Linked DNA regions of Xenopus tropicalis. The protein of the gene in region 7 purifies or fractionates together with the protein of the main gene of each other region. This does not show direct contact. Links are inferred from orthologs where the notes say so. Each region holds a gene or a part of one and is shown on either strand. Other genes may lie near its edges.

Evidence for each region.
Region 1: the proteins of fus (region 7) and smarca4 purify together in Homo sapiens (affinity purification with mass spectrometry; 3 studies listed by BioGRID, with this or other methods). This does not show direct contact. The link is inferred for Xenopus tropicalis from reciprocal best matches to the Homo sapiens genes FUS and SMARCA4.
Region 2: the proteins of fus (region 7) and ilf2 purify together in Homo sapiens (affinity purification with mass spectrometry; 3 studies listed by BioGRID and IntAct, with this or other methods). This does not show direct contact. The link is inferred for Xenopus tropicalis from reciprocal best matches to the Homo sapiens genes FUS and ILF2.
Region 3: the proteins of fus (region 7) and sf3b1 purify together in Homo sapiens (affinity purification with mass spectrometry; 3 studies listed by BioGRID and IntAct, with this or other methods). This does not show direct contact. The link is inferred for Xenopus tropicalis from reciprocal best matches to the Homo sapiens genes FUS and SF3B1.
Region 4: the proteins of fus (region 7) and znf326 purify together in Homo sapiens (affinity purification with mass spectrometry; 3 studies listed by BioGRID and IntAct, with this or other methods). This does not show direct contact. The link is inferred for Xenopus tropicalis from reciprocal best matches to the Homo sapiens genes FUS and ZNF326.
Region 5: the proteins of fus (region 7) and dhx15 purify together in Homo sapiens (affinity purification with mass spectrometry; 4 studies listed by BioGRID and IntAct, with this or other methods). This does not show direct contact. The link is inferred for Xenopus tropicalis from reciprocal best matches to the Homo sapiens genes FUS and DHX15.
Region 6: the proteins of fus (region 7) and khdrbs1 purify together in Homo sapiens (affinity purification with mass spectrometry; 3 studies listed by BioGRID and IntAct, with this or other methods). This does not show direct contact. The link is inferred for Xenopus tropicalis from reciprocal best matches to the Homo sapiens genes FUS and KHDRBS1.

The regions. Positions count from the first base shown.
Region 1 is NC_030679.2:138,916,744-138,920,660, reverse strand, and holds part of smarca4 (transcription activator BRG1), read right to left. Parts: intron 2,524-3,917; 5' UTR 2,492-2,523; coding exon 2,285-2,491; intron 2,200-2,284; coding exon 2,067-2,199; intron 1,933-2,066; coding exon 1,558-1,932; intron 1,475-1,557; coding exon 1,376-1,474; intron 1,293-1,375; coding exon 1,034-1,292; intron 835-1,033; coding exon 708-834; intron 1-707. UniProt on the Homo sapiens protein: ATPase involved in transcriptional activation and repression of select genes by chromatin remodeling (alteration of DNA-nucleosome topology).
Region 2 is NC_030684.2:144,160,313-144,164,781, reverse strand, and holds the start of ilf2 (interleukin enhancer-binding factor 2 homolog), read right to left. Parts: upstream 2,982-4,469; 5' UTR 2,927-2,981; coding exon 2,922-2,926; intron 1,206-2,921; coding exon 1,149-1,205; intron 581-1,148; coding exon 538-580; intron 427-537; coding exon 322-426; intron 235-321; coding exon 157-234; intron 1-156. UniProt on the Homo sapiens protein: Chromatin-interacting protein that forms a stable heterodimer with interleukin enhancer-binding factor 3/ILF3 and plays a role in several biological processes including transcription, innate immunity or cell growth.
Region 3 is NC_030685.2:45,929,924-45,934,517, forward strand, and holds the start of sf3b1 (splicing factor 3B subunit 1), read right to left. Parts: upstream 2,999-4,594; 5' UTR 2,907-2,998; coding exon 2,879-2,906; intron 409-2,878; coding exon 242-408; intron 1-241. UniProt on the Homo sapiens protein: Component of the 17S U2 SnRNP complex of the spliceosome, a large ribonucleoprotein complex that removes introns from transcribed pre-mRNAs.
Region 4 is NC_030680.2:105,534,122-105,538,528, forward strand, and holds the start of znf326 (DBIRD complex subunit ZNF326), read right to left. Parts: upstream 2,909-4,407; 5' UTR 2,694-2,908; exon of another isoform or gene 2,675-2,693; intron 1,150-2,674; 5' UTR 1,148-1,149; coding exon 1,062-1,147; intron 1-1,061. UniProt on the Homo sapiens protein: Core component of the DBIRD complex, a multiprotein complex that acts at the interface between core mRNP particles and RNA polymerase II (RNAPII) and integrates transcript elongation with the regulation of alternative splicing: the DBIRD complex affects local transcript elongation rates and alternative splicing of a large set of exons embedded in (A + T)-rich DNA regions.
Region 5 is NC_030677.2:31,429,635-31,433,551, reverse strand, and holds part of dhx15 (pre-mRNA-splicing factor ATP-dependent RNA helicase DHX15), read left to right. Parts: intron 1-2,597; coding exon 2,598-2,934; intron 2,935-3,917.
Region 6 is NC_030678.2:86,520,729-86,525,255, reverse strand, and holds the start of khdrbs1 (KH domain-containing, RNA-binding, signal transduction-associated protein 1), read right to left. Parts: upstream 2,860-4,527; 5' UTR 2,856-2,859; coding exon 2,762-2,855; intron 4-2,761; coding exon 1-3. UniProt on the Homo sapiens protein: Recruited and tyrosine phosphorylated by several receptor systems, for example the T-cell, leptin and insulin receptors. Once phosphorylated, functions as an adapter protein in signal transduction cascades by binding to SH2 and SH3 domain-containing proteins.
Region 7 is NC_030685.2:6,033,913-6,038,460, forward strand, and holds the start of fus (RNA-binding protein FUS), read right to left. Parts: upstream 3,185-4,548; 5' UTR 3,142-3,184; coding exon 3,129-3,141; intron 1-3,128. UniProt on the Homo sapiens protein: DNA/RNA-binding protein that plays a role in various cellular processes such as transcription regulation, RNA splicing, RNA transport, DNA repair and damage response. Binds to ssRNA containing the consensus sequence 5'-AGGUAA-3'.

The DNA.
Region 1 (3,917 bases), on a different chromosome or scaffold from region 7:
CAATTTTTTTGCTAGTTTTTATTACTCTTCTCTCTCTAGGGTAAACTGGACCCTAGGAAAAGAATGGAACTGCTGAAACTGTGAAGAGCAGTTGTCTCAGCATGTATCTGCACAATGTTATAGTTAAACTACCACTTAAAGGGGTTGGTCACCTTAAAATAAACTTAGTATGATGTTGAGAATGCTATTCGGAGACAATTTGCAGTTGGTCTTTATATTTGTGGTTTTTGTTTTATTTAGCTGCTTTGTTCAGCAGCTCTTCAATGTGGAAGTTCAGTAGCTAACTGATTGCTAGGTTCCAATTTAATTTAGCAACCAGGTAGTGGTTTGAAAGAGACAGAAATATGAATAGAGTATAAGTAATAATGATAAAACTGTAGCCTCACACAGCAATATAGTTTTTCGGCTGCTGGGGTCAGTGACCCCTGTTTGAAAGCTGGAAAGAGTAGGAAAAGATAAAGGCAAATAATTAAAAAGACCAATTGAAAACTTGCTAGGAATAAGCCATTCCATTACATACTAAAAGTTAACCTAAAGGATAAACTACCCCTTTAATATCATGTTTAACGCTATAGCTAACCCACTTATTGTACAGCGCTGCAGAATATGTTGGCGCTTTATAAATAAATGTTAATAATGGCTAAAAACACTAGATGAAAGGGGAATATGCTCCGCCCGTCCTGCTACAACAGAAGGGAAGAACTTACTTGTCTCTGAAAATTGAGAAGCCTTAAAGCTTTCAGCTCTATGGTGGCTTTGGTCCTTAGATCTCCAGGCAAAGAACCAGGAAGATTTTCCAGTTCCTGGATCCTGTGTGCAATTCTCGCCTGCAGCCTGCAAAGGCAAACCATGTCACGCAGTTATATTAGGATCCCATACGCCATATAAGCTAGAGTAATATCTTACACAACCCCCTTCTGTGTATCTAGAGTAATATCTTACAGTTTTTACTTTTGCCAATATATTATTACGATGGATATTAAGAGAGTTAAGCAAACCCAAATGCACTACATGGTCACATCAGAGATCTCACCTGTACTCCCGTTCCTGTAGCACCTCCACAGGATCCAGGCCTCGCGGTTTCTGTATGGGAGTGATGCGGTTGGGCTTAGGGTGAAACTGTACTATGGGAGGAGGCTGAGCCGGCTGGCCTGGAGACTGTGTCTGCGGAGGCATCACGGGGGAAGCAGCCGGTGGGACAGCCGGAGGGGCAGGGGAAGGGCGGCCAGTAGGCTGTGGAGGAATCAGCTTCTGGGGGGCAGTGGCAGGGGCAGCTGCATTAGCCATGGGACCTGTGAGTGGGATACAAGGTTAAGACATCTGTACGGCCTAGCGCAAACATTCCCCAACTGATTCAGCCAATTACAAGATGTACCTTCAGGCCAAGGCTTAGGTGGAGCACCAGCAGGGTGGCCAGGCATTCCAGGTGGAGCTCCTGAAGGGCCGGGAGGTGGCATAGTAGGACCAGCCATTCCTAGTAAAACAAAAATGTTAAAACTTGTAATAAAAGCATTAATATACATTAAGCAGCTTACCTTCATCCCTCCAGGGCCTTACCATGAGGTCTGTTGTAGTTAGGGGGCACTGGGCCTGGGGCAGGACCAGCGCCAGTCCCCGAAGCAGCAGGTGGAGGTAGTGTTGGCATCTGTTGTTGCATCCCAGGCATGGGTCTCTTTCCCTGCACTGCCATCTGAAGGTGGTCGGGTAAAGCTTGCCCCCTGGCTAACATTTTGTAAGCCATTATCTGAGCCCGCAACTGGTGCAGCTGGTTCTGGTTGAAGGGAGTAGGACTTCGGCTTGTCTGCTGTTGTGGGTCCGAGTTCTCCATATTCACCGCTGATGGCCCAGAAGGCATCGGAGGGCCAGAGGGAGGACCATTAGATGGTACAGGGCTGGGCACGTGCTCAGAGTTGCCCAGAGGTGATGGGTATCCTGCAGGAGAGGAAAGACATTGCGATTACAGGCTATTCAGGAATGGGGAGATGGATCTGATTACTTGGTGATGGGTTCCAGTGCTAGATCCAAATCTTTGTGTTTGGGTCTTTGTGGTACCCGGCTGCACATACCTTGAGAGTGCTGGTCCATAGGACTGGGTGGAGGCCCCATCCCAGAGTGAGCAGCAGGTCTCATGCTCATACCCTTCATCTGATTGTATCGGGGGTCTTCAGGGATTGCTTTGTCATGAATGGAATCCATTGGCTGTCAGAAAAGGTTACAGAACAGTTACAGAAGTTCAAAAATGGTAACATTGTATAGGAAAGGAAGGCGTTGTGGCATTAGTCACCTTGTGCATCTGGTGCATATTTTCAGGTGGGTACCCAGCAGGTCCCTGTGGAGGAATAGGTGGCCCGGGGCTTGGTCCCATCATGCTGTGTGCAGAGCCAGGGGAGGGGCCTGGGCTGGGGCCTAGCATAGCTCCAGGAGAAGGCCCTGGCCCGGGGGAAGGTACAGGCCGGGGAGTGCCCCCCATTGGAGGGTCTGGGGTGGACATCACTGCAGGGAGAAGATCCAATCACTGCAAACCTGTAAGGGAAGTACATATTTTATGTTTAATGCAGGAAGGTTACTATACATACAATAGGCAATGGATAAAAGGCAGATAAAATCTGTCAAAAGATTTGTTGTGTCTGTTTTCCTCTGCCAGAGACACACAGCTCTCCCCTCTCCTGCTCCCTCCCCCCCCCCTTAGAAAGGTGGATCTGAGCCAATCAGAAGCTTCCTCATAGTCTTACTAACTGAGCATGTACACCGGTCTTGGTACAGGAGTGAGGTATTATGGGAATTTCTTTACAGAGCTCAGCGTTTTTTCTTCCTGTTTGGCTTCTGATCATCTGGTCGGGAGAAATACGGGGAGACTTAAGGGCACTATTGAGAGAAGTGAAGGTATGCCTGCAGCTTGGGATTAACTCTTTACTAGCCTTTCCTTCTCCTATAAATAGTTTAAGTCATGTATGTATTTTAAGGATTTAACCCCACAGTAGGGCGTATGTTTTTATTCTGGCAACAGTTCCCCTTTAATAAAATTAGCTGCTCACAGACAGAGTGAAATGACTGTTAATTACACGGCCGGTCCTGCTGCTCAGCCCAGTTACGGCACACTAAATGTACTAAATTAGGGCAGGAGAAGAGATGGAACAGCCTGTTTCCTTATGGAGAGATCCGGGCGTATCTGGAACAAGCTGCTCCTTTTCTCCGACGGCAGATGAAAAAGCACATGGGGGGAAATAACAAGCGCGGCTTCAAAGGCAGAGCGCATTAATTATTGATGTTATTTTATCGACGCCGCGGCAGACAAAGAGCAACGTGCGTTGGGCTTCCAAGCCAGGAAAATAAAAGCATTCAGCCCTTCCTATTAATACGCCCCTGCTCTAGCAAGATAGGACTGTCAGCCTTCGGCTCTATACAGAGTAACACTGAGCATTAAAGGGCCTAGCCCCTAGTCTAGGGGGGTCCCACCACTGCTCACACTGTGACCCTGAGGCATACTAACTCTAGTCTGTGCTAAGTATGTACTAAGCTTTATATGCAGGAACTGCCATACTGCTTACTTTAGGGTGAAGACACACAGAGCTACTAGTAGCAGCTACTAAAATAGACAATGCTGATCAGGTACTGATAATTGTCTCTACATGTGTTTTAGCAGAGGCAATTCTCAGTATTGTCTATGGCAGGGGATTTTCTGGCGTTTAGTAGACGTGAAAAAGTAGCTGCTACCAAGTAGCTCCATGTGTCCCTTAGGGTAAAGACACACAGAGCTACCAGTAGCAGCTACTTGTCGTGGCTACAAAAATAGACAATGCTGATCATTTACTGATAATTGTCTCTACGTGTGTTTTAGCAGAGGCAGTTCTCAGTATTGTCTATGGCAGGGTATTATCTGGCGTTTAGTAGCTGTGACAAGTAGCTGCTACTAAGTA
Region 2 (4,469 bases), on a different chromosome or scaffold from region 7:
CTTATAATACATGAGTGATACTCAGAGTTCCCTGTATAACTCAGCCTGCAGCCTTGTGCCTTTATATGGGGGGCACAGAACCCCTCAGTGACTGCTAATATCCTTATCATTTACAGTAGGGGGTACATTATTCGTATTAAAGACGTAGCAACTTACCACTTCAAAGTTTCCCGGGGCTACGATCAAATTGTCGATAACGTTGTTGATTTTGGTGACCAAAGAAAGGATTGAGGCCTGGTGGGGGGAGAGCACAAAGGGTATAATGAATATGGGCAGAGGCAACAGTGCCGGGGGTGGGGGGCAAGGGAAGCATATAGCTACCTGCTCGGCTGTGCTGGGGGCCAGATCTTGGTTTCGTTTGAGCAGTGACTCGCTGAATGAGCTATCGTCGGGGGCGGGTTTCACACGCGGGAAGGCCATTTCACACTGAAAAGAAGGGTAAGTCAGTATGTAAGCACAAGGATAGAGAAGATATATCTATCTATATAGATATATATATACATGTACAGAATGTGGGGGGAAGGAAAAGCCACTTACCACGTGGAAATCAAAGGGAATGTGAGGGACGAAGGGTCTGAAACTGTAAGAGAAAGAATAAAAGGGTCATATTTACATTAGAGAACATGTACCTGCACTGCACAATGTGGCTACTGAATAAGGAATATGGCTACCCTATGGCACAGAGTCAGGGGGGCTGCACCTTTACACGCAACTGTTAGTATGTTATACAATGGCCAATTCAATGCAACTTTTCAATTGGTCTTCATTATTTATTTATTATTTTTTCATCATTTGCCTTCCTCTTATTCTCTTCAGCTTTCAAAATGGGGGTCACTGACCCCGGCAGCCAGAAAACTTCTCTGTGAGGCTCCAGTTTTATGGTTATTGTTACTTTTTATTCCTTATCTTTCTATTCAGCCCCTCCCCTATTCATAGATCAGTCTCTTAATCAAGCCACTACATGGGTGCTAAGGTGATTTAGCACCCACCTAGCAACCAGATAGCTGCTGAACAAAAATGTAAATAATTAAAAAACTATGAATACAAAATGAAGACCAACTGCAAGCTGTCTCGGAACATTACCCTCTACATCACATTTCCACCCAGGAGCGACTGACGGGAGTATGTAGTTACAATAGGCAGCTCACCCTGTGTTAGGTCCCACTCTGGAGCCAAAGCGGCCACGTCCACGTCCTCGTTCACCCCTAAGAAAAGTAGAACAATTTAGAATACGTACATTTCTGGGGGGGGGGGGGGCACCTTAGATTGTAAGCGTCACAGGACACTTAGCTCTTAATCTCTAATATAACTACTTTGTATTTATTACTGTATGACCCTCTGTGTTCTACTCATTTATTATCACTATATCATTATTCAAACATCCAGCGCCCAATATTTGTTATCCGATCATGTACCCAGGGCCCCCCTATCCCTTCCCTATATATTAGGTACAGTACCCCCAGGGCCCCCCTATCCCTTCCCTATATATTAGGTACAGTCCCCCCAGGGCCCCCCTATCCCTTCCCTATATATTAGGTACAGTCCCCCCAGGGCCCCCCTATCCCTTCCCTATATATTAGGTACAGTCCCCCCAGGGCCCCCCTATCCCTTCCCTATATATTAGGTACAGTCCCCCCAGGGCCCCCCTATCCCTTCCCTATATATTAGGTACAGGTCCCCCCAGGGGCCCCCCTATCCCTCCCTATATATTAGGTACAGTCCCCCCAGGGCCCCCCTATCCCTTCCCTATATATTAGGTACAGTCCCCCCAGGGCCCCCCTATCCCTTCCCTATATATTAGGTACAGTCCCCCAGGGCCCCCCTATCCCTTCCCTATATATTAGGTACAGTTCCCCCAGGGCCCCCTTCCCTTCCTATATATTAGGTACAGTCCCCCCAGGGCCCCCCTATCCCTTCCCTATATATTAGGTACAGTCCCCCCAGGGCCCCCCTATCCCTTCCCTATATATTAGGTACAGTCCCCCCAGGGGCCCCCCTATCCCTTCCCTATATATTAGGTACAGTCCCCCCAGGGCCCCCCTATCCCTTCCCTATATATTAGGTACAGTCCCCCCAGGGCCCCCCTATCCCTTCCCTATATATTAGGTACAGTCCCCCCAGGGCCCCCCTATCCCTTCCCTATATATTAGGTACAGTCCCCCCCAGGGGCCCCCCTATCCCTTCCCTATATATTAGGTACAGTCCCCCAGGGCCCCCCTATCCCTTCCCTATATATTAGGTACAGTCCCCCCAGGGCCCCCCTATCCCTTCCCTATATATTAGGTACAGTCCCCCCAGGGCCCCCCTATCCCTTCCCTATATATTAGGTACAGTCCCCCCAGGGCCCCCCTATCCCTTCCCTATATATTAGGTACAGTCCCCCAGGGCCCCCCTATCCCTTCCCTATATATTAGGTACAGTCCCCCCAGGGCCCCCCTATCCCCTTCCCTATATATTAGGTACATTCCCCCCAGGGCCCCCTATCCCTTCCCTATATATTAGGTACATTCCCCCCAGGGCCCCCCTATCCCTCCCTATATATTAGGTACAGTTCCCCCCAGGGCCCCCCCCCTATATATTAGGTACAGTACCCCCAGGGCCCCCCTATATATTAGGTACAGTCCCCCAGGGCCCCCCTATATATTAGGTACAGTACCCCCAGGGCCCCCCTATATATTAGGTACAGTACCCCCAGGGCCCCCCTATATATTAGGTACAGTACCCCCAGGGCCCCCCTATATATTAGGTACAGTACCCCCCGGAGCCCCCCTATCCTATTCTCAGTAGGACCAGGCCCCCCGGAGCCCAGCACACAATGTGCCCCACAATAGGCCCCGGAAGGCGAGAAGGAAACCCGGCACCGCTCCCGGTCCCCCCAATCCCCATGGCAGCTCCCCACTCGGCCCCCGAACCCCCCGCACCTCATGTTTCAGATCTTCGTTCCTCACACTCCCGCACAATGGACAACCTCTCGGCCCTCGATACAGCCACACTAGACCAACAATCTGCTTTCCTATTGGCTATAACGACCGGTTCCACAGCCAATCAGCATCACGAACAGTCAACTCCCTCCCTCTCGGCGTCTGACAACCTATCCAAACCCGCTCGGCAAACGCATCGCTGTGACGGACGGGGACACTCACCAATCGCCGAAGGCGGAGTAAGCCCGCCCACACAGGACGCTACTTCCATAATGGCGGCAGATTCCACTTTTTCCCGCTAAACTTTATTTATAATCAACCAACACAACGCCTGGACAAAATGGCTGCTGGTATTTTTACTTCCAGTATTGCATTTGTATCGCCCTGTAAAGAAATGGCGCTAACAATGGTGGAAAAACTCTCACAAAATAGTTTGTTTATGAAAAATGTGCAAGTCTGTGAGGGTTTATTGGGGAGATACAAGTAATGGGGGGGGGGGGCTGTTCCTGTAGTTACCCCACAGCCTTTCCCATTCTGACTCCTGTAATACAGTGTGTGGCAGCAGTCAATTCCTTCTCCAGCTCTGTGAATCTGTTGGCTTCTGCTACATTGCTTCAGAAGTCAGAACCAGCAGGGCAGCAGACAAACACTGTAATAGCAACAAACATCTTACAAGTCTCTTCTGCCTTTTTCCAGCTTTCTAATGGGGGTCACTGACCCCGGCAACCAAAAAACAACTACTGCTCTGTAAGGCTACAATATTATTGTTATTTTTTATCACTTATCTTTCCATTCAGTCCCTCTCCTATTTATATTCCAGTCTCTCATTCAAACAACTGCCTGGTTGCTAAGGTAAATAAGACCCTGGCAACCGCATAGGTGCATAGTAAGAGCTCCAGGACAAAAACCTAAATAACTGAAAAACCACAAAAAAAAAGTTCATTTAAAGGGGAACTAGCCCTTTAACATAGATATGTTACTGCTGCATCCCCCCCATGAGGTTCCTTCAGGGGTATTTACATTGAAATCTGCCCCAACAGGACTCCGCCCTGTGCTATTGTGATCCGCACACACCTTTTGGTGCTACTGAGAGACACAATGTCCCAGCAGGGGAGCAACGGCAGCTTCCGCCCTGTTAGTACCTACCCCCAGGTTTTATTCATATTCACTGCAACCTGCAGAACTGCCCCGGGGGCAGATGCTACACTGCTGGGCCCCATCCTGCCGTTATTTAGGAATGAATACGAAGCTACAGGAGCCAAGGGTGCAGTTAGTATCCCGGCCGGGCAATGTGTATATACTGAAACCCCCAATTTCTGCATTTGAGCGCAGCCCCCCCCAATCCGTCGGAATATAAAGAGGGGGGGGGGGGATTTATATGAATAGTAAGTGCTTATTCAGTCATGTTTCATTCGACACTGACGCAGGAATGAGAGGAGTTTGCATGAAGGCAGCGGCCTGGAACGGCCATTAATTGGCAGGGAATGAGGCCCATTGTGTGCGGGGAATGGAGGCGCTGTATGGGGACTGGGGGAGCAGCGAGGCGCG
Region 3 (4,594 bases), about 40 Mb from region 7:
TTCACATTCAAGCCGGTGGGGTGGCATATCGCGGGCGACTAATCTCCCCGTCTGCCGTAAATAGATAAATTAGTTGGATAAGATTCCCATTGTATTTGCTTATTTGTTATCTGCTTATGTAACCTGTGCCTTTCCTCCCTTTTCAAGTCTGTATGGGAAAAATATGAGATATATAGTATAGGATAGGGCAACAACAACATTACTGACATTTCTTTAAACAAACAAAATTATTCAAACTTACATCATCTTGCTCATTTGCTGCTATAGATGTGACATATCCAGTAAATCTGCTATCACTTCCACCATAAATTTCTTGATCATAATATCCAGTAGAATCAAGACCAACTCCTTGTGTCTCATCGAGGGCTACCTTCTTTCCTTGAATTTCACGTATCTGTGCTTCAATATCTGATTGGAAAAATATATTAAAATATTTAATGGTACATTAGTTTGTTAGCAACTAGAAACCAGAGATAAAGAAAAGGTAACAATTTAAAAAAAAAAAAACTCACAACAAGCTTGCAAACAGCTCAATGCTAATAATTGATATGTAAATTAGGATAGAGTCTCAAAAAAAGAAATTCTAGGAAATTTAGTATAGGACAAATTTATATTAACTTTGGATGGGAGAAGACTAAGTTTAAGTTGTTTTTTTTTTTTTTTTTTAAGGGTATGCAGCGCTGTACAATCTTACAATATAAAATATTACACACAGGGAGGACAAGTGTTATTTATACAAGTATAAATACACAGGGAGTAAGTGCCATGTGGTATGAGACACAGTAGGAAGGAGGTCCCTGCCCTGAACATCTCACAATCTAAGCATGTAGATTATACATAACCCCAATTTTGAAGACACTGTGGTTTTCTTGATATGGTGTCTTAATTTGGATCTCCATACCTAAAGTCTACTAAAAAAAAAACACAGGATTTTTGTGCCTCTAATAAGTATTAAAGGAGAACTAAACCCTAAAAATAGTAGTAAACTGACTGCACTAGTCAAAAGTTTCAGCATCTCTATAGTAGCAATGATATAGGTCTTTACAGTTGTCACAGGAGCTTCTCATCTTGGATTCTGTTAGAACTGTCCAGGACAGTGCACATGCTAGGGCGGCTGTTGAGAAGCTAAGCTGAGGGGTTGTTGCAAATTATGAAGCAGAAAAAAGGCTGGCCTGTCATATAAACTAATGCTATAGGTCTGGTTATTAAATTCTGCTGCTAATTGCACTGTTTTCACAGCTGCCATGTTAACTGAATCCAAATGAATCACTAATCAGCCTTATACCGTTACATTTATATTGTATATATACAGTATATTGTGCGTCGGTCCCCAAGCTCAGTATCTGACAGCAGCACAAAGTATGTGCAGGGAATCAAGAGAATAGAAGATGAGGGGCTACTTTATAATTTAAGAGAAAAGTAGACTTTTAAAAATTTGAATTTTTTTAAAATTAATTCTATGGGTGATGGTCTTTTTGGATAATGGTTTTCCAGGCAATGGATCCTATACTCTCTAGGCTTGTTGTTTCAGATATTTCACTCACAAACAGAACCTACAGTATGAAAACCAAGGTCTTTACTTGTATACTAAAACAAATGTGTTAACAACAGTGGCGACAAACAGGCACCACCATTGTACAGCCTTTTTACATTGATTCGTAGTAGAGGAAAGTTCGAAAATTTACCTACACAGGTAGGGGATATCGGATTGATCTGATCATTTGGCTCTAGGCCCAAACGTTCAGATCACATTTATGGGATGCAAACAGTCGGGGATTGCATCAACAACCATTGCACTCCTCCCCCTGACTGGGTTTTTTTTTTTTTTTTTTAACCTCTCTGATTGAAATCTTGCCCAGATATTGTTAGGGCAGTCCTGTCTGAGGGCCCCATACACGGGCCAATAAACTGCCAATGATCAGCAGCTTTTTATCCCTCATGCACCACACAGGTCAGGCTATCATTACTTGCTATTTTCCCTGACCTAGGAGAGCAGGTAAATACCTTAGTTATCAATGTTGGCCAGATCAGTGTTGTGTTTCCTGCCACCCTGAAAAAAACAGTTTACTAAGAGCGGCGACAAATCTCCCCACAATGCCATCCCACCAGCTAGAATGTAAATTGCCAGTGGGGTGGCATACATGGCGCTGCAATTTGCTAAAGTTGCCTTGAGAGGAAACTTCGGCAAATTGCGGCGCTGCATATGCCATCCAGCCAGCGATTTACATTCTCAAAGGAGAAGGAAAGGCTAAAGGGGATGGGGGGCCCTTTCCAGGGGTACAAGTTAAGCAATTACAATTACTGGGGGGGTACCTAAGATTTAGCATCCCCAATGATTTAGCCATTCTTTCTCCTTCAAGGCAATTCAGCCTTAGTAAATAGGCACATAAGGCAATTCAAACTGTATGGTTAACTCCAGGTCAACAAACAAAATGATCAAACGGACTATTTGAAGTATTTTATCATCAGCCCACTGACATCTGAAATCACTTGGGCAACTAAACACGTTGAATGTCCTCGCATTCCACTGCTCTTCCTTGCCTTCTACACAACCAATAGAAACGTTTCGCCTCCAAAAACAAACAAAGGTTAGTACATTAAAAGACGTTCTCTGACCCTCCGTCGGGTCCACAATAAAACAACAGGTCACCGGAATTCATAAATATATTACAATCTTAAAAGGACAGAGTAACCGAAATCCTGTTTGTTTTAATCCAACTCCATTGACTATTCGCGTGTGCACAGAATTAATAGCCAGTAAGGCCTTCTCACGTTTCCCGAAAGTTTATAGATTCATCATTTCATGTATACAAGGCTGACTTACTAACCGAAATTACAAATTATCCCTTTCACCGAAACATTAGTATTCTATTCTTACCTTCGTGTGTTTTCGCAATTTTCGCCATTTTGTAAAACCGTAAAAAAGAGGCAACACGCCACCAAAGCTCCTCCGTAGGTAACTAGGCGCATGCTCTGTTAATACGTAGAATAATGGGCGGTCTCTATTGGTGGCCGCCCAGAAGCGTCACAGAATGTTTTTATGCTTTAGGTTTCCGGGAGTAAGATCCTGCATGGTGGGAGTACGTTTTGTGATCCGTAGGTTTTGTACCGTTATTCGGTACCGTGAGCGACGTTATAAATAGTAAAATTAAAATGCATTATATTTTCAGCAATACGTCGCAGCATTTTACAGTTAGTGAGGCTCTTACTTGATCTCACCTCTTACTTACACTTACCAGGTAATTTTTGCGCAAAGCGGTGGGTTCATATAGGTTAGCCCCACCACAATTAAAAGGACATGAAACGGAAATATATACAGTCCGAAGCAGCCCCGTGTACGGTTGAGATTCTGCTGAATTGGCCGTAGTCCAATTTAGTAAAGGCCATGATGCGCTCTTTGCACTAAAGTATAGTTGCGCTCAACACTGTTTTGTTGCTTTCGTCTTCTGTAGTTCGCACAGTGGTACCCACTGATGCAGGGGAGACCTAGATCTACATCACCTACGCCAGCATTTGAAGGACTATAAAGCTGCTGTTGGGTCATTAATTAGATACTTCACCCAGGGCCAACTCTCCATCTCTACATGCCCAAAATAGATTTTCTACTTTTTGTTACTCCTGTCTCCTTTTCTGTATTTTGCACAGTGACGCCCATTGATTCAGGGGAGCTCTGAAGCTACACCACCTCCAAACCAGCTGATAGTGCCAGGGTTACCACACTGGCCTGTTTAAATCAAAGCAGCAAAGTTATGCCAAAAGAATTTCAGCATTTGTTTGAGGGATAAAGTTGCTGTTGTGCAAGTGTACAGCTTGCAATAAGTTGGCTCCAGTCAGTTATGTAAAAAATCCCATTTATTAAAGGTCATCATGATTGCCTTGCTGATCAGATTCTGCTAAATTGGCTGTAGTCGGTTATGCGCAAAATCCAATTTAGTAAAGGCCATGATGCGCTCCTTGCACTAAAGTATAGTTGTGCTCAGCACCATTCTGTTGCTCCCATCTTCTGTAGTTCGCACAGTGGTGCTCACTGACACAGGGGAGCCCTAAAGCTACATCACCTATGCCAGCATTTGTTTGAGGGACTATAAAGTTGCTGTTGGGACCTTAATTAGCAACTTCACCCAGGGCCAACTCTCAAACTCTACATCCCCAAAATAGACTTTCTACTGCTAGTTTGTCCCCATATCACAGTCAGTCCTTCAAATTATTGTTCCCCAGTGGTTTTCTCTACTGCAGGGTTTTCCTCTTCCAAGTCTTCAATGATGACTGAAGTATGCCCCACCCAAGATACTACAATATTGTAAAAGCAGTGTGTATTTTTATAATTTCTCTGATCTTGATCAGTTCTTTTCCTTAGGGTGCCCTAATGTAAGAATAATTTGGGCATTTTTATCCCCAGTAAAAAGTTCCTGTTTGACCAGTGTGATTCTCAAGGGCTGATGAGGAATGTTCCCTTTAGGCTATATCCCTTTTGGGGTCCTGGCACTTTGTGTGCAGAACTGACAGAAACCTGCACACTTTGAATCAGGACCACAGTAAACAAAGAGTAAAAGACTACTTTTGGTCACTTTCACCCACTGGGTCTGATTCAGGT
Region 4 (4,407 bases), on a different chromosome or scaffold from region 7:
TCACTGTGAAGTGTATACACATCAGTCTTTTAAAGTGGCTGAGTGCATAGCTTGCCTGTACATTTAGAATTGCCATCTGTCTGCAAATGCATTTGCACATATTCTGTGAAATGGCAAAATCCCTGGTGTGAGGCATTCCACAAGAAATCAGTTCTACTACAAGGTTCACTCCAAATTAAATCATGCTTTCCTCAATAAATAGTTAAGGTTCAAAACCCAACCACCCCCTCCAAAAAAAAAAAAAAAAATAAAGTGTTAAAATGGCAGTAATTACTTAGATTGGGGATTTTATGATTGGCTTCTGCTACACTTCATAAAGTCAGAATTTTTTTTTTTCCAGCACCCAGACAGAAGATGCTCTTGAAGAACTTAATGGGATACTGTCATGATTTTTATGGTATACGTTTTATTTCTAAATTACACTGTTTACATATCAAATAATTCACTCTACCATTAAAATTTTATTTTGAACCAACAAATTTATTCTTTAGTTGTAATATTGGTGTGTAGGCACCATCAGTGCATTGTGCCTGAGTCTGAGCTTTCAGAAGGAGCCATCGCTACATATTAGAACTGCTTTCAGGTAACCTATTGTTTCTCCTACTCCTTTGTAACTGAAGTCCTAAGCCAGACTTGGATTTTTTACTATTGAGTGCCATTCTGATATCAACCACTTACAGCAGCATGGGTGTCAGGTAGCTGCTATCTTTCTACTTCCCCGTTATTCTGCTGCTGTGGGGGGTGGGGAAGGAGGGGGGTGATGTTATTCCAACTTGCAGCGCAGCAGTAAAGTGTTACTGAAGTTTATCAGAGCACAAGTCACATGGCTGTGGTACCCTGGAAATAAAGAATATGGCTATTCCCATAAGAAATCTGAAAACAAATTATTAAAAAAAAAAAAATAGATTTCAATGCAGGATTTTCTGGAGAAACAGATGTGTTTTGAAAACATTTTTCCCATAGTAGTACTCCTTTGTTTACATAGACAAGCGCCTATACTGTAGCAGCACCTTTAGCTGGGAAAGAAACAAACAAGAACTATAATTAAAACAGCAGGTTACCTGTCACCCATTTCATCCACTGAATAAGACTGGTTTCCATACGAGTCCATACTTCTTTGGTTATATGAGCCGTATTCTCGATCCATTTCTGAAAAACAAAAATGTTCCCCAATATTAAATATCTGAGCAACATAACCAAAACCATTGTAACATACAACAAAAAAATGATGTTACGTTTTGCAGAGATTTTTTTTTTTTTTTAAACCTGGACTGGAGTAGGTGGTAATGGATTACATTCAATAGGAGTTTGATGCCGTAGAAATTAGCACCCCGTATTTATTTTATGTTTTGTTATCCTATATAGCCAAGGCTTGCAAGTGTAACCCAAGTGGGGTCCTCAAATTGAAATTCTATAATCTGACTGCAAACTATAAAAGGAAAATATACCCTCTTCACCTCTTGTATCGGTTATTGATTGCTTTATATGTTACTCTGTATGTCTAATGTATGTAACCCACTTATTGTACAGCGCTGCGGAATATGTTGGCGCTTTATAAATAAATGTTAATGTAATGTAATATACCCCTTTTTAACATTTAAAAAAAAAGAGAACACTTTCTACCCTGCCAAAAACAAACATGAGAGAGCACGTATGTTTACAGCTCAATCCTTGTTCCACTGTGAAGTGATGATTAATCTAGGACTTGAAGTTTCTCCGCATTGTGTGGCGCACAGATTCTTTCAAAAAACAAAGGGACTTCAAGTAGCAGAATCTATCCCTTCACAATGGAACAAGGTGAGGGGGGGGTTGAATGAAAGTGTGAGCCCAAGGGAAGGGGGTAGGAAAATGGGCCCTGAGAGCTCAGACATGGCCACCATTTTATTGCATTATCTATTTATCTATTTAAAGAATTCAGATAGTGCTTGCAAACTTTACATAGGCCCAAACAACTAAGCTCACGTCAAAAAGCCGTTAAATTCCCAACAGGGGGACTGGCACCTTCTACAGAACAATTCTCAACAAAAACCTGCAGACATCTCAGCCAATAAGAGTTCAAGCAGCTCCAGTCAGGGAGGCAAAGTGTGGGCCAGTCATAGCAGAGAAAGCCACAAACCTATAGGTGTATTGTACCAAAAAAAACCACATACCGTGTAAATGGTCCTATCACATTACTTTTAGAAGACAATGGAAAGGATTACTTTGAACTCTATTCTACACATATAAAAGCTATTTTTCAATCTCTCACGTCTCTAAGCAAGGCCCAACATTGCCTGTTGTGTTTAATGGAGCTACACAGCCATTAGCCTCCCGCACAGTGTGCGTTTAGCCACAAAGACCCGGCTGTTTCTAGTAATGGTGGCATTGCCACCAGAAGTAAATGCTTTACGGACACGTCTTAGTCTTTCAAAGCCAAACGAATGAGATGGGCCTTTCCAATATTCCCAATACACACACAGAGCGGTAAGTGCGCAGCCTGTAGCCAAAGGCCGGCGTTAGTAGTATGGTAGGTTCTGCTACGCTCACACCTTTCCCCACAGAAGAAAAACCTGAGAGTATAGAAGCGCTTGCAGAGCTGCGCACAAACTGCACAAAGGCGCGAATCAAACAAAGAAGCCGCCGCCATGTTACGTGAAATGAGCACCGGCCTTCTGCTTCCTTACAGCGGCCTTACCTAGGAAATATGTCCTCACCTTAAGCGCGCTGCACACGGAACACGTTTGTTGCTGAGAGGGTAGAACGCTGCTCGGCCTCTTGCTGCCCTGAACCCCTACTAACACCGACACTCACACAAGCCCGGGTTCTGGAACAATGAAGAAATGGAGGACACGGGACGTGACGTCAAAGCAATCACAGGGTCGCTTTCATTGGCTGGCAAGAAATGTGTCGTCACGTCATAGGGGATGGGCTATGTAGGTTAACCCCCTCGCTTTTGAAATGTACAGGGCCGGTGGGCGGGTTCCAGCCCTGCAGCTGCGTAGTAAATAGAATGGGCACGTTATTTCCGGGTTCCAGAACTCAGTCACTGAGAGGCGTGTCATTCAAGTCTACTTCACTAAGTAGCGCTTGTGCTTTCAAATAAATCTGCCTGTTTTTTTACAAAATGTGGCTGAATGTGAAATAGGAAGTGCTTTTATTTTGCAGCTTCCTGGCTGGTTCCTTAGGATTGTGGGATGAGAAGAAAAGAGTTAAGCAGTCCATGGATTAAGCTTTTGCATAATAATGACCTACATACATAATGAACTCCTCCTGTGTTTAGAGCTGATGCCCCCTTCAGCCTGGGGGGAAGCACCTCTAATACAGGCAGGGGAGTAGTGAGAGGAAGGAAAGGCAGGTTATAGTGGATTTAATCATTAGGAAGGTGGATAGGGCAGAGCTTTTAACCTTGGGAAACTGTCTTCTGGGGGATCCTAGAGTGCATTGCTGATATGATGTCATCGCACATGTTCAAAATGAGTGTGATGTCACAGAAAGCTCACTGCGCCTGCGGTAGATGTAAAAGCCTATTAGGAGGCCGTGTTGTAGGTGGGATTTTTCTAACTTCCAATTAATCAGGTTGCTTGCGTGGGGCTAGGGTTCTGCATGGAGTGGAACAAGTAGATATATTATTGGGAGGGGCTGGGGAAGACCCAGGGGGGGTATGTCATAGCCCCCTAATGTAAGTTAGAGAAAGAGGCTAATCTCATACCTCCCAACATTTTGAAAACGGAAAGAGGGACAAAAATAAATGCTGCGCACAGCGCAGTGAATTTTTTTGACCATGCCCATTTTGCAACCACACACTCCTATTTGACTAAATTTGACAGGTTATTTAAAGTTTGAACACATTTCTGGGGGTTTTGGGGTCTTGTTTTATGTGTTATTACAGTTTTGCTGAAAAAGGTGAAATTGCCCTTTAAGCTGCAAGTCTCAGTTCCCCCAAGAGACCAGTTTAACTTATTAGTTACAATTGTATCTCAGTGCAGGTGGGGATTTTTACCTTTCTGGGCTCTCTGCCAAAAGCTACTTATTTAATTTACTGTGAGAAACAATGTTTCTAAGTGCAGGTGATGCTGGTTAAGATTTCTGGGCTCTATGCCAAAAGCTACTTTTTAATTAAAAATGAGAAACAATGATTCTAAGTGCAGCTGAAGCTTGTTTAACTGTCTGGGCTCTTTGCTAAAAGCTACTTTTAATTAAATTTGTATCTTTTTTTAGATTCAGTGCAGGAGATCAAAGGGAAATGAGGAACTTTTCAGTAAGAATCCAGGACTGCGGGTTGAGCTGTCAAAAGTGGGACTGTCCTGCGAAAATCGGGACAGTTGGGAGGTATGTAATCTCCTGTTGCAAATAGTAAAGGCTGCTAGTTTGGGGCAGGTAATGTTAATTGGGGGTTTAACTACCCTGATATTGACTGGAGCAATAGTA
Region 5 (3,917 bases), on a different chromosome or scaffold from region 7:
AAGACCAATTGTAAACAGTGTCAGAAGATCACTGTCTGCAACATACTAAAAGTTAATTTATAGGTGAACAACCCCTTTAACATTTTAGCTGTTTGACTTTGCCTGTTAGGTTGCACTAATATGTGCACATTTTGTTTATAGCTTGTAAATGCTTTAGTTAAATGCATCATGTTTGCTGTTCCATTGCTTGTGAGGAATTGATCCTGACTGGGCAAAGTTGTACACAGAAGCCAATCATCTTGGTGACACTGCTCATGTTCAGTGTGCTTTGGCCTGTTGTTGAGAAGGTGGGCTTAGGGATCAGCAAAAAATCATTGATGGTCTCTCACTGTTCTTACTTTTGCAGATTTTTTTGACAGATTAAACCTCAGTAGAAACTGGTCTAATTATTTGGCCAGAAGATAAGAACATAAAGAAATTTGCTTAGAGCTGTTCCCGTGCCTCTCTGAATGTGGTTTTTATTTGTATAGATGCATGGATATTTGGCACATTACTGTACAGAATCGGCCCTGGTATGGCTGCCTTTAATCTGTACAGCTGACTATGTGTAATTTAAGGCTGTAAGGGTGCGTATTGGCTAAGCAGGTGGTGCGCATAATGAGTGAACCTGGCTGTCCACACTGGGAGCTCCCACTCTGTGTAGGCGACCTAGTGCCAGCGAGGGCTATTGTTTCCACCCAACCACAGTGTGGGCTTTATTAGCCCTCACCTCTGGTGGGAGAAGACATTTCATTGTCATAGGTGTCCATTAAGTGGCCACAGAACTTATTTTGCTCTTGGTTGGCATCGGCAGGTCTGCTACAGCATGGTCTTCAAGTTTATTTGTAGCACTGTAAATATAAAGCATTACGAGGAAGTGCTGACATATGCGTGGGCTTATCTGTTAGTATAGTGCTATAAGCAGGAGTTTTTTAAATTTGACTGTATTTAGGGCAGCTTTATTAAAGGTCTGCTTCTCGTTAGGGCCCTTTTACACAGGGTGGTTTATTGTACTACCGAAAATCCCGTTTGCGAAAATGCATAAGGAGGTATTTTGAAAGAGATTAATTTTCTATGTGTCCGGGACCTTAAATACTTTGTCTTTGGTTTCTGCTTAATAAAATACTCATTACAAATTGGTATTGTCTATTTTTTATGCACCTTTTAATAATTGCATTTCAGAACCAATTGCTGACTATATAAAACAGTCACTTGTTAGATATTATGCATTATCAAAAAGTTATATTGATAGATAAATAAAAATTACTTTTTGCCAGTGAGAGATGTTTAGTAGCCCACATGTACTGTCTGTAGACACAATATATGTGCTGCAGCTTAGTATGTCACTTGGCCAGCAGAATGTTAGTACAGGTGTGGGACCTATTATCCAGAATGCTCGGGACCTGGGGTTTTCTGGATAAGGGATCTTTCCGTAATTTGGATCTCCATAACTTAAGTCTGCTAAAAAAATCATTTAAATATTGAATAAACCCAGTAGGAAATCAATTTCAAAAATTAAAATTATTTGCTTATAATGGAGTCTATGGGAGATGGCCTTTCCGTAATTCTGAACTTTCTGGATAATGGGTTTCCAAATAACAGATCCTATACCTGTAGTGACAAATATGTCTGTGCTTACCAGGACAGCCCAGGTAAACGTAACCCCTCATACTTTGTGATAATGGTTGGGGAGGATTTTGTGAAGCAAAACCGGGTATGAAGAGTTTAATATTGCTTCTGAAGCTTTTAAGACATGCAGGATACTAGGCTGTTTGCAGAGGGCATAATGGTGATGTGGGTGGTTGACAACATTTTAAAATAATTTTAGTAAATTGAGTATAGAGCTTTTTGAGCTGTGAGAAATTCTAAACTGTACATTGTAGTCTTATGAGGTTAGATACATGCTCGGTAGTGTCGGTGTTCATTTGTACATGAGAATGGGCTTGTGTACCTGCAAACAGACAGCATTACATTAACTGTGCCAACAATACAGTGCAAGGTATATGAGCTGTGCGTGTAATAAACTTCAGAGCCGAGTCAATAAAAATTGCTGTTATTTAAATGATAAAAAGGAACCCTATGGCCATGGAATCCTTATAAAGGTCATCTGTCAAGATTCCTACTAGGCACCTGGACTGGTAGTGTACTAGTGTCATAGATACTCTTCTCTTAATGACTCGATCACCAATGTAATATTCTGGATGTACACTACTGAATGACATAGTACCCTGCAACTGTATTCTGCTCTATTATACCCAATCTTCCAGAGCCATATATTGGCCCGTAACTACAATGCTGCAGGTATGGTCTGCAAAGTTGAATAGCAGTCAGCGGCTCTATATTGTTGTAAAGTCTCAATGGCAAGGTGGCCAGTAACTATTTGTCCAGATAAAAAATCCATTGCAAAGTGCAGAGCACAGCTTTGGCAAATGCAGGCCAGTCCTGTCTTTACCAACTGCCATAAATTAGATGGAAAGGAAAGGGCCCCAGTTGAGAACAAATATCTGGTTGCTGGTCACTAGATGTGGGCAAACTTAAGACTTTTTATATATATATACATTTTTGATTATAGATAATCTTACCTGTGATAATAACACAAATTGTTTTTCAATCCCTAGAAAAGACAGAGATCGAGAGAGAGATGACCGATCTAAGGACCGGGACCGTGACAGAGATAGGGATCGGGAAAGGGACAGAGACAAGGATAAAGACTCACGTGGGTCATCCAATTCTACGTATATTACAGCTAGTGGAATGCCACCTCTAAAACCTGCAGCGGTTGCTCAAGGCATTAATCCCTTTACCAACTTACCCCACACTCCGCGCTACTATGACATCTTAAAAAAGAGGCTACTGTTGCCAGTATGGGAATACAAAGAACGGTTTACTGAAATTCTTATGAAGAACCAGAGCTTTGTATTGGTTGGTGAGACTGGATCTGGGAAAACTACTCAGGTATTTTATTTTGCCTGCATTTAGCTTTTCTGGCAAGGATTATTTTTGTGTTATACAAATATAACAATAAAGCAAACTGTATATTTATTTCAAAGAATAATTATCATAGAATGAAGGTGGTCCCTGCTGCATAGACCTTACAGTCGGTGGTTAATATAAGGGCACACATAGTATAGTAATCAGTACTGTTCTTCACATTGGGTAGGGCATTAACCCATTATTAGTCAGATTTTCATATATTTTGTTAGTGCTCTAAATGTAGTTTGCAGTAGTCTAGGTGGCATAGGATAAGGGGATTGTTTTAAGGAATAAGAGCAAGGTTTTAGTTTAGGCCAAAGACTTGAGTGCTTGTCAAATAGCAGAAGGTAGTGAAGAGGTTAACCCAAGAAGTTTTTTGCGTGGTCAGTCAACACTTGGTATAAAAGTAGGGTACAAATAATATAACTATTGATTTAACATCTACTGTATTAATATAGAAATAGCATATAACCATCATTCCTCTGCCCCCCAAGCATCAAAATCCTGACTGGCACAGGGATTGTTTTAGGGTTGGCAGAAAGAAAGAGCATTAGACCTGGATCCCATCATCAAAACATAGAGGAAAATGTTAATTGTTTTAGTTTTAGTGAATACTGTGATGCTCTCCTATATTATCCTATCAGGGTCGGATTGGGGGTCTCCGGAGCCCACCCCTCTGCATGCCTTGTTGCTTTTGCACCCGTTGTGGGGCAGGAGTGCCAGGGTGTGCGACTGAGTCAGTGGGGCCCTCAAGGTGCTCATGGTTCCCAGCTGGCCCACTCTGACACTGTATCCCAGCATCTCACCTATAGATGGGACCACAGCTTTCCTGCATTGCCAGACACCTCCCCAGGAAATCAATGCTCTTTGCTTGTTAAGTAATCTGTGTTCTGTATAAACAGGCACCACACACTTACATGTTGATGTTTGAGATGGTATAATCAAACTCTTGTAATGTACTTTCT
Region 6 (4,527 bases), on a different chromosome or scaffold from region 7:
TTTCTGTATAAATTAATTTGGATGTTTTTATTATCTTTTAAACATTTTAGCACAACTGAGCAGTGGCAAGAATTTCAACCTCTTTTTTGGGGTATCCCCTACTAAAAGGCATCACAGCATAAAACAAAAGTGCATAGAGTGAACAACATTTTGTGTAGAAACCTACTGCCAAGTATATTTATTCTGTGGACAATCACAAAATCTATAGAAAAAAAACTTCATTTAATACGGGTATAGGACCCCTTATCCGGAAACCCGTTATCCAGAAAGCTCTGAATTACGGAAAGTCCGTCTCTCATAGACTCCATTTTAATCAAATAATTCAGAATTTTTAAACTGATTTCCTTTTTCTCTGTAGTAATAAAACAGTACCATGTAATTGATCCCAACTAAGATATAATTAATCCTTATTGGATGCAAAACAATCCTATTGGGGTTAATTAATGTTTTGATTTTTTAGTAGACTTAAGGTATGGAGATCCAAATTACGGAAAGACTCCTTATCCGGAATACCCTTGGTCCCGAGCATTCTGGATAATGGGTCCTATACCTGTACCAGGCAATTTCCACCCAGCTTAAAAAAAAAAAAAGACCAATTCCATCCATTCTGCGCAGAAGGATGGAATCCTCCCATCACCATGCTTATGGGGCAACATTTTGCCAGAAAATAAATCTTTTGCACTTTCTTGCCAAAGCCCAACAAATGCACACAGTAACAGGAGGATAGCATTACTTTAAGTGACTGCACAAGTGGGGCATATTGACATCAGCCTTACTAAAGGATGGACAAGAGTTCACCAGGGCTACCCTAAAATTGCAAGAAAGCTTCACTGTCACTGACAAACACTACTAATGCATTTCATTCTTATCCTTCTGATCTACCACCCCCCAAATCTGAACGGGAATACCCAATGCACAATAGAAAGAACAGAAATATAGGGTAATCTGCAGGGGAAAAAATAGCTACAGCCCTTCATTTTAAAACACAAGATTTGTAAAGACCAAGGAGTCGTGTGAGGATAAAAAAAAAGAAATCTGATTGGTATTATATAGACTTCAAGTTTACTTCTAAGTCTGTATTGGTATCGAGGCTACATTTGTAAAATTGAAACACTACATAGGAATAGTCGATCATTTTTTTTTTTCAATCATGCAAAAGACAACCGCACAACTAAGGAGTAAATGCATTATATTAATGCAGCTTATAACTAGGAAAAAATAAGCAAATGAAATCTTTGCCTTAAAAAAAGTCTTGGTTCAAGCCTTTGTGGTCCATCATAAAATCAAAGCACCCCTAGCTTCAAAAATACATGACAAATACTAACCATACAAATAAATGAAACTACTGACCAATCGCCATACTTCACTTCCAAACAGGTATTGCAAAGCAAACCAGTTTTTACACATATTGTAACCCCCACACAGTCCAATGCTTTAGCCAAACATATATATAGATCCTTTCATACAATACAATTGTAATCAATGTTAAAACTTTTCAGTTACAAGGACTGTTGGAAATGTTTAAGAAATGTTAAACATGTTAACATGTAGCAGAAATAAATTCTCTCTTGCACATACAATGGGGTTTATACCCTGACCTCCTCTAGACAAAGAACAGCTGCCAACAGAGGGAGGAAATCGTCAGTATCTCTCACAGAACAAAGAAGCTTTTATGTAGAAACCATGGGCAAACAGTGCCATTTGGATCTCATTCCCTTGCTACATCACAGAACTGGTAACACAGCATATATACATTGTACAGATTACCACAGCAGGTCACAATAAATGTACTCACAAGACAAAAGATATGAAACAAGCAGCTGCCCCCATATCTACTAATTTCCAAACAAATAAATAGGTAACCCTATTAATTTGTTTGTAGAACCACATGGTGACTCTACCTAAGCTGATCAGAAAACCCTGCACTACACTGATGAGCCCCAAGAAGGGCAAAACCGGTCTGTAGTTGGGAATCTGATCAGCTATTGTCCTGGCTTCAGCTTCAAACCCAGTGGGTGAGCTGTAGCCTACAGGATAAACCCATGTAAATGGGATTTTTTTTTTTTTTTTTAAGAGTCTGGAATTCATTACCAGAATTCCTTTTGTTTACTAATTTCCAACAAATTATTCATGTTTCCTAAAGAATAAGGACACAGCACCTTTTGCTATGTAAGGGATATATATTCTAATAAAGGGTAAACAGAAAGGCTGTGGGGGTCTGACTGAAGGCCATACAGTGTGATTTGGGGACAATGCATTTTCTCCATCAGATACTTCACGTTTAACATATCATTCCCTAAATATTTCTGAAACAATGATTATAAGACAACGCGGACTTCAATTAAAGGGTCTGGTCTTAAAAGGGATTTGGAAATGACAAAACAGTATCTAAGTCGGCCTGTATTGCACCCATGGGTTACACTGTGTGTAGCATCATACAGGGATATGCCTATGGGAAACCCAGTAGCAGCAACATTCGGAAGGCAGTCCCCCAATTTGTCTAACTTCGAACAGCAGCTGCAAAAACACGGCCGTGGGGGAGGGTTGGTCGACAAACCAGACACTGATCCACAGCATGCAGTGAGCTCAAAGCCGCCATTATTCTTTGCAACCTAACACACGCCACATGGCCAAGCATAGCAGGCCCGAATGCATAAAGGTGTTTTTACTCCAATCCTACTACCTAGGCCCCTGGCCTACTCCCTTTGTCCCCCTCACGCCAAACCCTTAAATGAATACACCCCGCCCGAGCCCGACTCACCCTTGCCCAGGAGGCTCATAGCGTGCGTGAAAGATGGGTCCAGGCTGTCCTTCTCAGCCATCAGTTCGGGTAAGTATTTGGTCTCGGTCTCCATGTTGCTCGGTTCGGTGTTACTGGTCGGCAATACGCTCAGTGCTGGTGTCGATAAGAAAATCCGCTCGCACTTGCACGGCCTCAACAAAAGAAGAGATCGTAGCTAGCACCGCCCACCGGAAGCAACGTAACACCACCTGGGGAGGGGAGAGCGAATTAAAACTGCGCGCTAGGCAACACGGGATTTCCGCTCCCCGTACAAAGAAATGAGACTTGAATGAAAGCGTAGTGTATTAAACATGGATTCTGTGTTTTGGATGGCTAGATACGTGACAAAAGATGGCACGTTGTTTCTACGTATAATGGAGTCTGGCTTGTTACTGTAAGACCGTAGCTTAATGTGACTTACACTGTAGGGCAGGGATCCCCAACCTTTTTTACCCGTGAGCAACATTTCAATGAAAAAAAAGCTGGGGAGCAACACAAGCACAAAAACTTGCCTAGTAGGTGACCAATAAGGACTCAGATTGGTTAATTAGTAGCCCAGTGTGTACTGGCAGACTACTAAAGGCTCTGTTTAGAAGTACAAATGGTCTTTATTCCTCCAAAACTTGCCTCCAAGTCAGAAATTCAAAAATGGGCACCAACTTTGAGGCCACTGGGAGCAACATCAAAGGGGCTGGTGAGCAACATGTTGCTCAGGAGCCACTGGTTGGGGATCACTGCTGTAGGGGATGAGGGGGGGCACAGTTGTAAAATCAAATGCCCGTCATTTAGAAAGGTTTCATGTTCTGAGTTTAGAACTAATTCTGGCTCCAAAAAAGAAACTTGCACGTGTGTAGATACGTTTCAGTGGCCTTGTAGCTGTAAATGTGTTCTCTTTGTATGTGTTCACCTATAAAGTATGAAGAATGAGACTACAGTAGAACCCCCATTTTAAGTTTTTCAGGGGGCCAGAAATAGATGGCGCAAAATCCCTGATTTTACATTTTCCCAGAAGTTTATTATTTATTAGTGGGACCAAAAAACGATGGTGTAAAATGCAGGAAAACTTAAAATCAGGGGATGTAAAATTGATGTTTCACTGTACTTGGCTGTGTGGTGTAATGCAAGTCTATGATTAGGAACCCTGTGTACCCAGAGAAAGTATTTATTTTAAGGACCTTGGTTCCTCCTTTTACTGGTAATTATATGGGCTAATGTGTTGGACATCTTATGTTCATGGTTATTCAGTTACAGTATATTCCCTAATTACTTTTGTCATTGCAAAAAAGGAGGTTGGCCTTTTATATAAGCTGATGCTGCATGGCTGATTATTAAAATCTGATAATTGCACTGGCTTTAGAGCTGCCATGTAGTACCGGTAATCATCTGTATTTATTACTAGTCAGCCTTATATTGTGACATTTATATTGTGTATGTAGAGTATATTGTGAGCCACAGAGCTGTCAATCACCCTTGTTTTATCGGGAGTTATCTTGGTGGTTCTCCCCCTGGTCTCCCATCCCCCAATAGCATTCTCCCGATTTTAAGCAAACCTCCCCAAGTCTTGTAGTGAACTCCAGCCCGCGTGTGCAGTAAGCATTCAATGATGTCACCTGGTACAATGCATCATCCTGCGCTGGTAGAAATTTTCGACCGCACATTTTTTGCGCATGCTTGTGAGGTTACTTCCGGAGTATGTGACTGCAGCTGCCTAGGGGGAAATAGTTGGGGCGCTGGGCAGGTACCTC
Region 7 (4,548 bases):
GGTCGGACAAGGTTAAAAATCTTATTTTCAGGACTTCACCCTAAAATTTCAGTTGGAATGTTAGTGTTAGATCCTTGCATATAAACATACGACCAACATCCAAACGTTCATAGGAATAAGACTAAAATCTGGACGTGTATGGCCAAGCTTTAAAATAAGGTCTGCATACATACACAGGTTACTTTTTGGTCAAAAAAAAATCTGAGCCCTGCAAGAAAAAAAGAGTGGGAGTGGTAATTTATAAGACATCAATGGTTTGGCATCAACAGAAACATTTGTTTAGCTCCCTCCCCTAAAAGTGGCCATACACGTACAGTTTTTAGTCTTCAGACGAACGTTCGGATATCGGTCGTATGTTTAAATGCAACGATCTAAAACGAACATGCAGATTGAAATTATAGGATAAAATCCTAAAAATATATCAGAGGGCGTTCTGGGCATGAAATAGTTGGCAGACACCAACCGTATGAAAGTGACTCCCATTGTAGGCCCCCCAAGGATATCGGCACATACACAATACATGCACAGATTTTATCCTTATCCAACCAAAATGTTTTATCCTGTCCGATCGACTAAACAACCGAACACCATGGTACAAAAATGATTGTGGTGATAATGTAGAGCCCACACAGCCTGAAAATCGTACAAAACTTACCACACACAGGCCAAATATCATACAAAACTACATTGTGATATTCTGGCCCTTATTTGGATAATTAAGGCCAGACAGGGGCACATCAATGCCATCGGTCGCACCAAAGATCGTCCACAGACGTTCAGGGCTGAATTGTCCGATATGGAGGTAGAAACAATAGAAATTCTACCCCCTTCTGCCCTGAACTTAGATTTTGCTTGGGTACCGTTGAAGGTACAAAAGCAAAATCAGTTCAGGGCAGAAGGGGGTAGAATTTCTATTGTTTCTACCTCCATATCGGACAAATCTTTTAACCTGGCCGATCAACAAGTCGACAGATATCCGCAGCCTTTTGCAATATCGGGTGCCTCGTCGAGCCGCCATACACACAAACCGAATATTGTACGAAACGAGGTTTTGTACGATATTGTTGGTGCATATATGGCCAGCTTAAGTCTACCCATGTATGGCCAGTTTATAGTCTTATCAGGCCATAGTCCAAAAAAATAGTGAATCCCTGTGAGGAAAACTTTCCTTCCACACCCAACACTAAATTAAAACAGGATCTTTTCTTAAATCAAGACCAGTGCATGGAATTACAGGGCACAAGTCTCTATTGTCCCTTTAATGGCCTTGGAACTACAACAAGGTCACTGAGGTCCATAGTTTCCTATACAAGAAGCCTGGGTGGGGGGGCGGGGTAAAATATATATTATATACACACTGGAACAAGGGCAGCACTCTTAGGATTTAAAGAATTGTGAGCAAAATTTAGATATAGAAAGGTTTATCACTCAACGTTTCGGCCTCACACAAACCTTCATCTGGAGTGAAGGTTGAAGCTTTCTCCAGATGAAGATGAAGGTTTGTGTGAGACCGAAACGTTGAGTAATAACCTTTCAATATTTACACTGCTCACAATTCTTTAAATATTAGGAGTGCCGGCCTTGTTCCAGTGCATTTTTTTGGTACTAGCACCCAGGTTTCGTTGGATTTCTTTTCTTAAATAAATTTATTATTTTTTCAGCAAAGTCCCTGTGTGTGCGGCCCACTGTTATATATATATATACTTTGAGAAAGGCTGAGGATCCGGCCGAAACGTTAGATTGACGTGGTTTCACAATAAAGGTATCTTATTTTTTCACCAAGTCCTGCGAGTGCGGTATATATATATATATATATATATTATATATATATATATATATATATATATATATGTGTATATATAGGTGGTTTGTCCCTGAGGAAGAGCACAGTAGGTGCTCGAAACGTTGGACTTTTTTTGTTCTAATAAATTTGTGATTTTTTGTAAAGTCCCTGTGTGTGCAGGCACCAGCACCTTGGGCATTTGAATTCTTTAAGGGTGTGCTTTATTTTGTTCTATATATCTATCTATATACACACACACACACACATATATATTATATATATATATATATATATATAATATATAAGGGATATAATATATAAGGGACTTGATACAAAAGAAAAAGTGGTTTTATTGAAAAAATTACAACGTTTCGAGCACAATCTGTGCTCTTCCTCAGGGACAAACCAACTGAGGAAGAGCACAGATTGTGCTCGAAAAGTTGGCATTTTTTCAATAAAACCACTTTTTCTTTTGTATCAAGTCCCTATGTGTGCGGCACTCTTTCTATTATATTTTTGTTTTTTGACCTGCACCAAGGGCATTTGGACTTGTATAGGGTGTGCTCCTCCCTGTATACTATATATATATATATATGTAGACACATACACACACACACACACACATATATATATATATATGTAGACACATACACACACACATATATATATCTACCCGCTTCTTACCCTATGTCTCAGCCAAGAATTTACTTTACTAGTTAAATCTGCTTAAAGATCCCCCAGGCAGCAGTGTTGCAGCCATTTACCAGCCCTACAGAGACTTATTCATGTTCTGCCCTGTGGGCAATTGACCAATATACTGATTCCCTCCCCCTAAACCACGGATAATGGTTTCCAGAGGCAAGATTTTTTTCTTATAACGTTACTACACAAAACACTCGTTTTCTGGGAAGGTTTATCCGGACAGAATGCCACGCATTAGTGCCCCACACGCCCAGCCCGCCCGGATACAAAATGGCGAAAGCAGCGCAGTGCGGCTACAAAATGGCTGCCAGCTGCGCATTCAGCACAATGGTGGGAGGAGCCAAGAAGCGGCGGGACCGATACAACGGGGAAAGCCTACAAGATGCACGCATAGTAACATATCCGCGATACCGGATACATAGAAACAACGAAAAATACACATAAGGCAAAATGGCGCCAAAGAACGAGCAGATCTCGTATCTTAATCCTGAGTACTACTTTGCTTCGCACCCTAAGACATATAACAAATATTAAAGCCTATACACTATGCCCGACTATACATACACAGCCCCCAACTAGCGCGAAACAAAAATATCAAAACTAGCAGCCGAGTACAAAGGGCGAACGTCAAGTAATTCCTTACCGTTGGTGGCCATGTTGCGGTATCACTGATGTTCTCCAAGTACCGCCTAGTAACCACGATATATCACCTCCGCTGCGCACTGTGCTAAGGCGGGGAACTTGCAGCCCTTTATATGCACTCGGGACAAACCATTACGCACACCAGAGGGGGAGTGGTTAGGAGGAAAGGTAGCGACGGCTAAAATACCGGATAAACGAGTTTAAAACAGAACTCTGTTATGTTTTTGTGAAGTCAATAAAGTTTTACCCGAAGCACTATAAAGCAGAGGCAACATATATAGTTGCTTCTTGCTGTGCTGGGTATGTTATGTGAATGGTATGGCGGAGGGGCCATTCTATGAAGTGATGTGTGAAGGGAGAGATGCATCTTAGTTGATGGGGCAGATGAAAATGTCATGTTGGGGCCCTTTTTATTCCTTTCAAAGACCGCAATATCAGTATATTTATCCCATACATTGTCCTCATCATGCTGCAATAAGAAGGCTTGCCCAGATTTAGTTGGGCAGGTTTGAAAATGACAATTTCCCTGCATACAATTGGACAATGGACAAATTTTATTGCTTTCAAACCTGCCCAATGGATTTTCTGACCAATGTTGGATGAAAAATCGCTAAATGTGAAATTGGTCGTTAGGGAGGGAAAAATCTTAGCATGTATGGCCACCTTTGCTATTAGCTGAGGCTTCCTACCCCCCCCCAAGCTTCATGGCTGAATAGTGCAGAAGTACCTTTGTCCCTTGTATGTATGTATATCTTTATAAAGCGCTACTTATGTACCCAGCGCTGTACAGTAGAATACATTAATACAAACAGGGGGTTATTAAGATAATAAGAGATAAATACAAAGTATAACAATAAATAAAAGATACAGTTGCAATAAGTTAAGAGTCAAAGGTCCCTGCCCCGTAGAGCTTACAATCTAGATAATCTAGACAATCTTGGCTCTTCTCGAGACGTGGGCCCTGGGCAGCTGCCCGATATGCCTGCATTATCTGATATTATCTGTCATTTATTGCAGGTCCAGAGATAGGGGTAGGCAGCAGAGGCACGTGCCTTGGGTGCAATTGGGGTGGTGGGGCACAATCAGAGGTGGATTGATTGGTAGGAATGAGCAGCAAGAGCTTGAGTGGACTGAGAGATGGGGGGGGGGGGGGAGCGGTTTGTGATGTGTGAACTGAGCATGGGGGTTTCAGGCAAGCAATGCCCCCTGTTCCATATGTCTGTCTATTTTCATCTGTTTCTCATTTTTCCTTAAGTCTTGATAGCTTGCTACTATCTATCTATCATCTATCTATCATCTATCTATTATCTATCTATCTATCTATCTATCATCTATCTATCTATCTATCTATCTATCTATCTATCTATCTATAATCTTTTATCTATCAATTTATCTATCTATCTATCTATCTATCTATCTAT